Linked DNA regions of Saccharomyces cerevisiae S288C. The gene in region 3 interacts genetically with the main gene of each other region. Each region holds a gene or a part of one and is shown on either strand. Other genes may lie near its edges. The genes, in order: RTS2, YOR192C-C and TPH3.

Region 1 (3,332 bases), on a different chromosome or scaffold from region 3:
TCGTGAAGTCTTCGGTATTATGAATCTTAACAAGAACCTCTAAAATGTCAGGGTTCAAACCGACTGATATATTATTTTTTGTGTTAGTCTCCAGTATTTGTTTTGAATTCTTCATTCTTGAAACTATACCATAGTAATGAAAATCTTCATATTGTGTATGAATTTCAATTGTCTGGCCTGATTGAATATATCCGCTGTTGATCAAGACTTTGAGTGACACGTAATTTATCTCCGCTATCGGTTGAAGAACAGAAGATTGCAGTATTGTGCCTACAAATGGCTCTTCCAAAGTTGTTTCTATTTTGTTCATATTATGCTCTACCAATAGATATAGTTGCGAAAAAAATGTCGGACCTTCATACCATTCGGGAACATAATTTATAGAGTCAAATTCTGACTTATACTTAGATTTTGTGATGTTTTCAGTTTTATTCAAATTCGAACCTAATAAACCCGAACACGGGATAAATTGGAATTCTGCGTCTGTCCACTGAAAGTTTTCCTTCAACACATAATTTAGCTCAGACTGAATCATTTCTAGTCGGTGCTTATCCCAACTAATTAGATCTGCCTTATTCAAAAGAATTATCAAGTGCTTTTTGCATGCGGAATTCTTGTTCAAATAAGAGATCACTTTTAAAATTTCATAAATCTGATTATTTGGACCATCTAATGATTTTTCCCACGAGTCATAATTGCAATCAATAACCAATACATAAACTTCAGGATCAAAGGTCAAAATTGAGTTCAGAGTTTCTTTATTGAAGTATTTGATACTACCAGGAGTGTCTATAAGCGTCAAGGTTGATGATGGCGGTAGTAAATCATTTTCTACCTGAATAACTTTCTTAAACATGGAAAATCCATTTTCTCTTTCTGTTTTGGTATTGTCTAGAATGACCTTAAAACTATTTGAAGATGAAGGATCCAAATTACTGCTTTTTTTTTGTAGTTCCCTCATTGATGACATAGAAATTTCGTTTAGATCATATAAAAGATGACCAAGCAAAGTGGATTTGCCTGCGTTTGTATCACCGAGGAACAAACATGTCAAATTCAGAGGATGGGTGGCAATGAATGAATGAATATCAATCGACTCAGTAGGTGGTGTTTGAAGGTTAATTGGTTCCTTTTTTTCGGCCTTGGGCACAGATTTGATATTTAAGTTTTCTAATTTTTCATTGAAAGCATTAAGTTGGGCCGATTGTATTATATCATCAGGACTTGGTCTATTGAAATTCTCAATGGCTACTTTACGAGTTGTTTTCGGCAGGTTACAAGGCACAAAAATACCAAGGAGCTCATTGTTATGCTTTTTTAAGGACAGAAATGATGAATTCTGCGACGATAGCGGTATTGATGTACTCAACGAGTTTTTTTTATCTTTTATGATAAAGTTTGTGAACGCAAAATCGTCGGTTTGATTTATGCATGGATCGTTTTTCAAGAAACAGTAATGGTTCATTTCTTTAATAGCCTTCCATGACTCTTCTAAGTTGAGTTTATCATCAGGCGATTTCCTTTTGGTAGGGAGTTCGTTTTCTTTGCTGTCTAATGTCACTGATTTTCCTTGTTTCTCCAAATCACTATTTGACTTCTTTAAGGCAGACAACTTTAAACTCAATGAAACACTATGCTGGTTCGGGGTAAAGTCGCTTCTTTTTACCTTGTCTTTTGCAAGTAGCGTCTTCAGATCCTTCCTTTTTGTCTCAGCATTGTTATCTTTAGTTTCTCTATTCTTATGTAGTCTTTCTAGTAAGGATGCACTTTTCGATGTACTATGAGACTGGTCCGCACTTAAAAGGCCTTTAGATTTTTCTATTCTTTTTCTTGCTAATTGCTCTAATAACGACATGTCAGGTGGTACTGTAAGTTTCGAAGACCACCTCCTCGTACGTGTATTGTAGAAGGGTCTCTAGGTTTATACCTCCAATCTGTTATAGTACATATTATAGTACACCAATGTAAATCTGGTCCGGGTTACACAACACTTTGTCCTGTACTTTGAAAACTGGAAAAACTCCGCTAGTTGAAATTAATATCAAATGGAAAAGTCAGTATCATCATTCTTTTCTTGACAAGTCCTAAAAAGAGCGAAAACACAGGGTTGTTTGATTGTAGAAAATCACAGCGATGGCAGATTATGATAGTGCGAAATATTGGTCCAAGCAGGGAGCTCGTCGTGGGTTACAGAAAACCCGTTACTACTGCCAAATATGCCAAAGGCAATGTAAAGATGCAAACGGATTTCAATCACATAACAAATCGCCATCTCATTTAAGGAAGATTAGTCAAGTGACAGCTGAGGACGCTAGGCGCTACAATATCCAGTTTGAAAAGGGATTTCTACAGTTATTGAAGCAGCGGCACGGAGAAAAATGGATTGATGCTAACAAAGTATACAACGAGTATGTTCAAGATCGCGATCATGTACATATGAATGCCACCATGCATCGTTCTTTGACGCAGTTTGTCCGGTACCTAGGCCGCGCGGGCAAGGTAGACGTGGATATGGATATTGATGATACATCTGAGAACGTTGAAGGTCCTTTGCTTATCAGGATCCATCCCTCATCTTTATCATCACCTTCTGAAGATGGAATGCTGCGAAGTCAACAAGAGGAGCAAGAAGTCATAGCCGCCGAGCTTTTGAAAAGACAACTCAATCGTGCTAAGCGACAAACTGAAAAGGTATATCAACCAGAGATGAAATCGGAAATTAGCGGGGATAGCACTCTGAAACGTGTTCAAGTCACCTTCCACGGGAATGGTCGGGTAAATAAAAAGAAAAAGAAGGTTCCTCCACGGAAAGATGGTATCAAGTTCCGTTGATTGAAAATTTTTCTTTTCAAGCGATGAGGTTAGCGAAGTTGTTCGAACAAGCCCAAATATGTTTAGAAGGCAGTACGAATTGATACCCTGAACTGTTACTACCCGTATACACGTATTAAGTAAGACAATGAGTAATGGACACGTCAAGTTTGATGCCGATGAAAGTCAAGCCAGCGCAAGTGCTGTCACGGATAGACAAGATGATGTGCTGGTAATATCAAAAAAGGACAAGGAAGTGCATTCAAGTAGTGATGAGGAAAGTGATGATGATGATGCTCCACAAGAAGAAGGGCTTCACTCTGGGAAAAGTGAGGTAGAATCACAGATCACTCAGAGGGAGGAGGCTATAAGGCTGGAACAATCACAATTGCGGTCCAAGAGAAGGAAGCAAAATGAATTATACGCCAAGCAAAAGAAATCAGTGAATGAGACAGAGGTCACTGATGAAGTAATTGCGGAGCTTCCTGAGGAATTGCTAAAAAATATAGATCAGAAGGACG
Region 2 (2,688 bases), on a different chromosome or scaffold from region 3:
GTGAAATCGATCAAACCAGTTCGAACGACCTTAAGATATGATGAAGCAATTACTTATAATAAAGACAACAAAGAAAAAGACAGATATGTTGAAGCTTATCATAAAGAAATTAGCCAACTATTGAAAATGAACACTTGGGATACAAACAAATATTATGATAGAAATGACATAGATCCTAAAAAAGTAATAAACTCAATGTTTATATTTAACAAGAAACGTGATGGTACACACAAAGCTAGATTTGTTGCAAGAGGCGACATTCAACACCCCGATACATATGATTCTGATATGCAATCCAATACCGTACATCACTATGCACTGATGACGTCACTGTCAATCGCATTAGACAACGACTATTATATCACACAGCTGGACATATCCTCTGCTTACTTATATGCTGATATCAAAGAAGAATTATACATAAGACCTCCACCACATTTAGGTTTGAATGATAAATTACTACGTTTGAGAAAATCACTCTATGGTTTGAAACAAAGTGGTGCAAACTGGTATGAAACCATTAAATCATATTTAATAAATTGTTGCGACATGCAAGAAGTTCGCGGATGGTCATGCGTATTTAAGAATAGTCAAGTAACAATTTGCTTATTCGTTGACGACATGATTTTATTTAGCAAAGACTTAAATGCAAATAAGAAAATCATAACAACACTCAAGAAACAATACGATACAAAGATAATAAATCTGGGTGAAGGTGATAACGAAATTCAGTACGACATACTTGGATTAGAGATCAAATATCAAAGAAGCAAGTACATGAAATTAGGTATGGAAAAATCCTTGACAGAAAAATTACCCAAACTAAACGTACCTTTGAACCCAAAAGGAAAGAAACTTAGAGCTCCAGGTCAACCAGGTCATTATATAGACCAGGATGAACTAGAAATAGATGAAGATGAATACAAAGAGAAAGTGCATGAAATGCAAAAGTTGATTGGTCTAGCTTCATATGTTGGATATAAATTTAGATTTGACTTACTATACTACATCAACACACTTGCTCAACATATACTATTCCCCTCTAGGCAAGTTTTAGACATGACATATGAGTTAATACAATTCATGTGGGACACTAGAGATAAACAATTAATATGGCACAAAAACAAACCTACCAAGCCAGATAATAAACTAGTCGCAATAAGCGATGCTTCATATGGTAACCAACCATATTACAAGTCACAAATTGGTAACATTTTCCTACTCAACGGAAAAGTGATTGGAGGAAAGTCGACAAAGGCTTCGTTAACATGCACTTCAACTACAGAAGCAGAAATACACGCAGTCAGTGAAGCTATACCGCTATTGAATAACCTCAGTCACCTTGTGCAAGAACTTAACAAGAAACCAATTATTAAAGGCTTACTTACTGATAGTAGATCAACGATCAGTATAATTAAGTCTACAAATGAAGAGAAATTTAGAAACAGATTTTTTGGCACGAAGGCAATGAGACTTAGAGATGAAGTATCAGGTAATAATTTATACGTATACTACATCGAGACCAATAAGAACATTGCTGATGTGATGACAAAACCTCTTCCGATAAAAACATTTAAACTATTAACTAACAAATGGATTCATTAGATCTATTACATTATGGGTGGTATGTTGGAATAAAAATCAACTATCATCTACTAACTAGTATTTACGTTACTAGTATATTATCATATACGGTGTTAGAAGATGACGCAAATGATGAGAAATAGTCATCTAAATTAGTGGAAGCTGAAACGCAAGGATTGATAATGTAATAGGATCAATGAATATTAACATATAAAATGATGATAATAATATTTATAGAATTGTGTAGAATTGCAGATTCCCTTTCATGGATTCCTAAATCCTTGAGGAGAACTTCTAGTACATTCTACATACCTAATATTATTGCCTTATTAAAAATGGAATCCCAACAATTATCTCAAAATTCACCCACTTTTCAAAAACACACGCCGATTGGTCATATTAATCATGACCAATATAATAGTGATTCCGGTAGTTACTATACATTGATGTGACGACTCATATTCCTCATATATGTACCTACCATATCATGTTCAACTAATAGGTCTTTAACACAGCTTCAGTATGGTCTGAGCTTCTCGTTTAACATTCCTTCTGCAATAGGCACAATCACACTTAAACGTATACGAGGTGTACATTAATATACGATGTAAGCATTAGATTGTTACCATAGCAACTCATGTCACTATTAATTACTCTCGTTCCAACAGAATCAACGTAAGATATTGGTGAATTTTGAGATAATTGTTTGGATTCCATTTTTGATAAAGGCTATAATATTATATATACAGAATATACTAGAAGTTCTCCTCCAACTCTAAAATGTCATCTGTTAAATAGTATTAGTGTTACTAGTATACTATTACATGCGGTGAAAGAAGATGGCATAAAGATTGAGAAATAATCGTAATATTATTTGTTGAACTACCGATTCCATTTTGGGGATTTCTATATCCTGGAGGAGAATTTCTAGTATATTCTGTATACCTAATATTACAGCCTTTGAAAAGAATGGAAACCCTACCATTATCACAAAATTCGTAGAATTCACAGTAGAAACCTTAGTGAATCAAACAAGATAGAGCACGTTGGGTCAAATTCTTGCTTGGATAAATAACCCACATGAATAAATACCCAGACAATTAT
Region 3 (4,349 bases):
GAAAAGAATATTAAAAGACTTTTACCCTCAAATTTGGTTAATTTTGAAAATGACATTAACTCGCTGACAAAACAGGTTGAGACAATTTCAACTTCCATGAGTGAGTTACAGAGGCGAAATCACAAATTTACGGTCGAGAATGTTACTCAATGGCAAGATCAACTGGTAAAACAGTTGGATACACACCTCCCTCAAGAAATACCCGTTGTAATTAATAATTCTTCGTCGCTTTTAATAATCCCTGAATTGCACAATTATTTGAGTGCTTTGATTTCAGACGTTATTGAGTCTCCAGGCATTGGTACTGCTGGAAGCGCTGAAAGTCGTTGGGAGTATGATTTGAATCGCTATGTAAAGGAAATTCTTTCGAATGAGTTGCAATATATCGATAAGGATTATTTCATCCAAGAAATGAACAGAAGGTTGCAATCTAACAAACAGGAGATTTGGGAAGAGATCACAAATAGGTTAGAGACACAGCAGCAGCAGCAGCAGCAGCAGGTTCAACAGGATTATTCTAACGTGCCACAGCAGTATTCGAGCATATTAATGAAAAGATTAATTCACCAAATTTACAATTCCAATCAACACCAATGGGAGGACGATTTAGATTTTGCTACTTATGTTCAAGGTACTAAACTATTGAACCATTTAACTTCACCAACCTGGAGACAGGGCAGTGGGGTACAGCCGATAGAATTACTGACCGACTCCAAACAAAGCTCCTCAACTTACTGGCAATGTGAGAACGAACCTGGGTGTTCATGGGCCATAAGGTTTAAAACTCCTTTGTATCTAACCAAAATTTCGTACATGCATGGCCGTTTTACTAATAACCTACATATAATGAACTCAGCACCAAGACTGATCTCATTATATGTAAAACTGTCACAGACTAAAGAGATCAAAGCATTGCAGACATTGGCAAATCAATACGGTTTCGGGCAGCATCACAAGAGAGACCGAAATTACATCAAGATCGCAAAATTTGAGTACAGGTTGACAGATTCTAGAATACGCCAACAAATGTATCTGCCCCCATGGTTCATTCAGTTAAAACCACTCGTACGCTCAATTGTCTTTCAAGTGGACGAGAACTACGGGAACAAAAAGTTCATATCTCTGAGGAAATTTATCATCAACGGAGTGACACCGCAGGATTTGCAAATAATTGAAAATAACGAGTTCCCTGTTTTACTGGGTGACACCCCAGAATATGGTGTCACTCAGAACACCGACGAAGGCAAGAGGAAAGTTCTCCTATCAAAGCCTCCTTACGCGTCTTCATCTACTAGTACCAAGTTTCATCCCGCTTCTAACGTCCCATCATTTGGCCAAGATGAGCTAGATCAATAAACGACAATAAAAAATTAAACGTTCTAACCCCCTGGCCCCCAGAAAATCGCGCAGATTGACGGCACTCCCTTTAAATCATAGAGTTAATCAGCTACTCACCACTCTCTTTCGGTACTGGCGTTATTCTGAATTCCAACCTTGAACACAGCCACACGGCATTCAGATGTTGCTCCCATGCGTGGACTCACGCTCTGCGATTAACAGCTCATGGAAATTTCCTCGTGCTATTTAAGACTGCAGTCGTTTGGAAATCGGAATATCTTTTTTCGTGCAGTTTTGCGGGAAATTTTCCCTACTTAAAAAGCTGAATGAAAATCAGAAATATCTGCAAAAAAAAAAGGTAAAAAAGGGAAATTTTAAGACATAGCATAAAGGACTTGGTTTTGTTTCAATACTCAGCCCTTTTCATTCATTTCTATCACAAGTTTTTTTTTGCTCTCGTTTCCATTTTCTTCGTTTACTTATTATTGACGTACATCTTTTTTAGTTTCAAATAACATAGCAAGAAGGCTTAACTAAGTTCCTATATTCTTGGCATATTTATCATCATCAGGTCTTTTAAAAGTATCTCAGAACGTAACTTCAACGCCTTTAGATTTTTTTCACAACACGACTCTATTGCAAGAGACAAAAAAAATTAAAATGGGCATTTTGGACTCGCTGAAAAAACCTGTTAATATCAAGAGTTCGCTCCCCAAATTCTCCCGCAGTGCTACCAGCATCAATTTAAGTAGCCACCCAGTAAGTTCACGGTCCTTCCTCGAATTACCACCAGAGCTTTTCAGCATCACTAAACCTATATTTAAGCTTCTGCAAGCACACGCAAATAAGATTTACTTCCAATCTTCCGACGCTGAGGCTGTATGGAATGTTAAGGATTCTTCTGGACATGTTTTTGAAGCAGAGTCAATTTCTTTGCTCGGCTCTCATATAATTATCACAAATTCCTCTGTACAAGTCGCAGACGTGGCCATCATAGATTCCCCTTCCAACATAAACCAATGTGAAATTTCAAGCGTTGGAGAGTTCCTGCAATTCAATAATGGCCAACTATCTATCACATGTAACGATTTTGGTTTACTGGAGAAGTTCAAAAGGTTGTGTATGATTTCTATTTTTGAGTTCATTTCTATATATAAGGCCTTGACAGGCACAGTGATTTCCTCTTATGGGCTGAGAATGTCTGATATGCATATCATTTTGAACTCGCCGTTCAATTTTAAGGATTGGTGTGAAGTTTATCTTGATGGTCAAGGTTGGGTGAAAGTGTGGTGTCATATTGATAAAGTGTCTAAAACCAATAATTCTAAAAGTAGTAGTGACAATGATGCTAAAGGAAAGTATCAAATACGGTTTTATAGAGATGACAAATCCACATCTAGCAAGAACTGCGTTTTTTTTATTCCTGACAATGAGTACGTTCAAGATATTTTCTTTTATAACATCAATGCGGCAGAACCTTCTAAAAATATGAACGACTTTTTTCAAGGGTTGCAAATGATAAAGCTCGTTGGTAATGTACGCTTTTGCAGTGATACGGACTTTAATGATGTGGTGGATAGTGGATCCATCTATAGTAGTGCAAACAACGGCAGTGGTGACAGCAGCTCGACAGCATTGAATAATGAAAGTCCTAACACTACACCAAAAAGTAGAACTTTCTTTTCACCTAAAGGGCACAGAAGAAATAGCTCCCATGTAAGTTCGTTAACTTCTAGATCAACAAAAAAGCCTATAACTAACTTCACTACACGTACAAATGGGCTTTTGATTAGGCCATTGCCCCATCATGGCGTACATCACCTGGAAGCAATGATCAGGTTCATTATTCCTTTGATGGATTGTGCAAGACTTTATGGGCGTCCAGTTCAATTCAAGACAGAAAGAACCGATATAAATTCGTTAATGTTTGGATTACCTAAATTGCCCTCAGTGGATTATTTTGCTGAAGAGGAGATTGCCCATTTGATGACCCAGGAATTTAATCCTTTGAAAGAAAAAGATACTGACGATACTATGGCTTTAACTATGTCAAGATTTTCTAGCTACCTGCAAGAAAGAATGACAAAAGTCTCCAAGAGAAACACAGAACTCAACTTCAGGACCTTTAGTGATGTAATGGGCATGTATAATACTACGAGGGATCACTCTAAACTTAATTGCATGAGTGACAAGGATAATTCTGTGAAGGAATTTTCATTGAGTGATAAAAGCAATGTTAGTTCTGAAACGACTAATATGATGAATCAATTGCAAGTAAACGCCCATGAATACAAAAGTTCTATGTGCGAACGTCCTATCGTCGCAAGTACTTCGCCCATTGCATAGTTCTTCGCATATATAGCCACATCTCAAAAACTTACATACAGTGTATATATTTGTGGTACAGTTTCTGTATAGCCAAATATACCCTGATATAATCTTATGTGATATTATATACTTCCATCCTAATACTAAACTTTTTCGTTTAACGTGACGCATGGTGCGAAGAAAAAAAAATAGCAAATCGCCACTCAATAAAGTGAGTAGAGAGCATTATATCAAAAAAGCATCGATAATATCGAGTGATCATACGTTGAAAATCATCAAGTACAATAGTGATATAAGCCACAATGCAAGCTCCAGTGGTATTTATGAATGCTTCTCAAGAGAGAACTACCGGTCGTCAGGCCCAAATCTCCAATATCACTGCTGCAAAGGCAGTTGCCGATGTCATTCGAACTTGCTTAGGTCCAAAAGCTATGTTAAAGATGTTATTGGATCCTATGGGCGGTCTTGTGTTGACTAACGATGGCCACGCTATTTTAAGGGAAATTGATGTTGCACATCCAGCAGCTAAATCAATGTTGGAGTTATCCCGTACTCAAGACGAAGAGGTTGGTGACGGGACTACAACAGTTATTATTCTAGCTGGTGAGATTTTAGCTCAGTGTGCACCTTATTTGATTGAAAAAAATATTCACCCTGTTATTATTATCCAAGCCTTGAAGAAA

Evidence for each region.
Region 1: mutations in TPH3 (region 3) and RTS2 together harm fitness more than expected from each alone (negative genetic interaction), as found in Saccharomyces cerevisiae (one large-scale study listed by BioGRID).
Region 2: mutations in TPH3 (region 3) and YOR192C-C together harm fitness more than expected from each alone (negative genetic interaction), as found in Saccharomyces cerevisiae (one large-scale study listed by BioGRID).

What each region holds. Positions count from the first base shown.
Region 1 is NC_001147.6:469,766-473,097, forward strand, and holds RTS2 (Rts2p), read left to right. Parts: upstream 1-2,133; coding exon 2,134-2,832; downstream 2,833-3,332. Other genes in the region: SKI7 (Ski7p), read right to left, coding at 1-1,855; BUD21 (Bud21p), read left to right, coding at 2,960-3,332.
Region 2 is NC_001147.6:703,336-706,023, reverse strand, and holds YOR192C-C (uncharacterized protein), read left to right. Parts: upstream 1-1,799; coding exon 1,800-2,036; downstream 2,037-2,688.
Region 3 is NC_001142.9:403,590-407,938, forward strand, and holds TPH3 (Tph3p), read left to right. Parts: upstream 1-1,998; coding exon 1,999-3,684; downstream 3,685-4,349. Other genes in the region: MPS3 (Mps3p), read left to right, coding at 1-1,356; chaperonin-containing T-complex subunit CCT3, read left to right, coding at 3,969-4,349.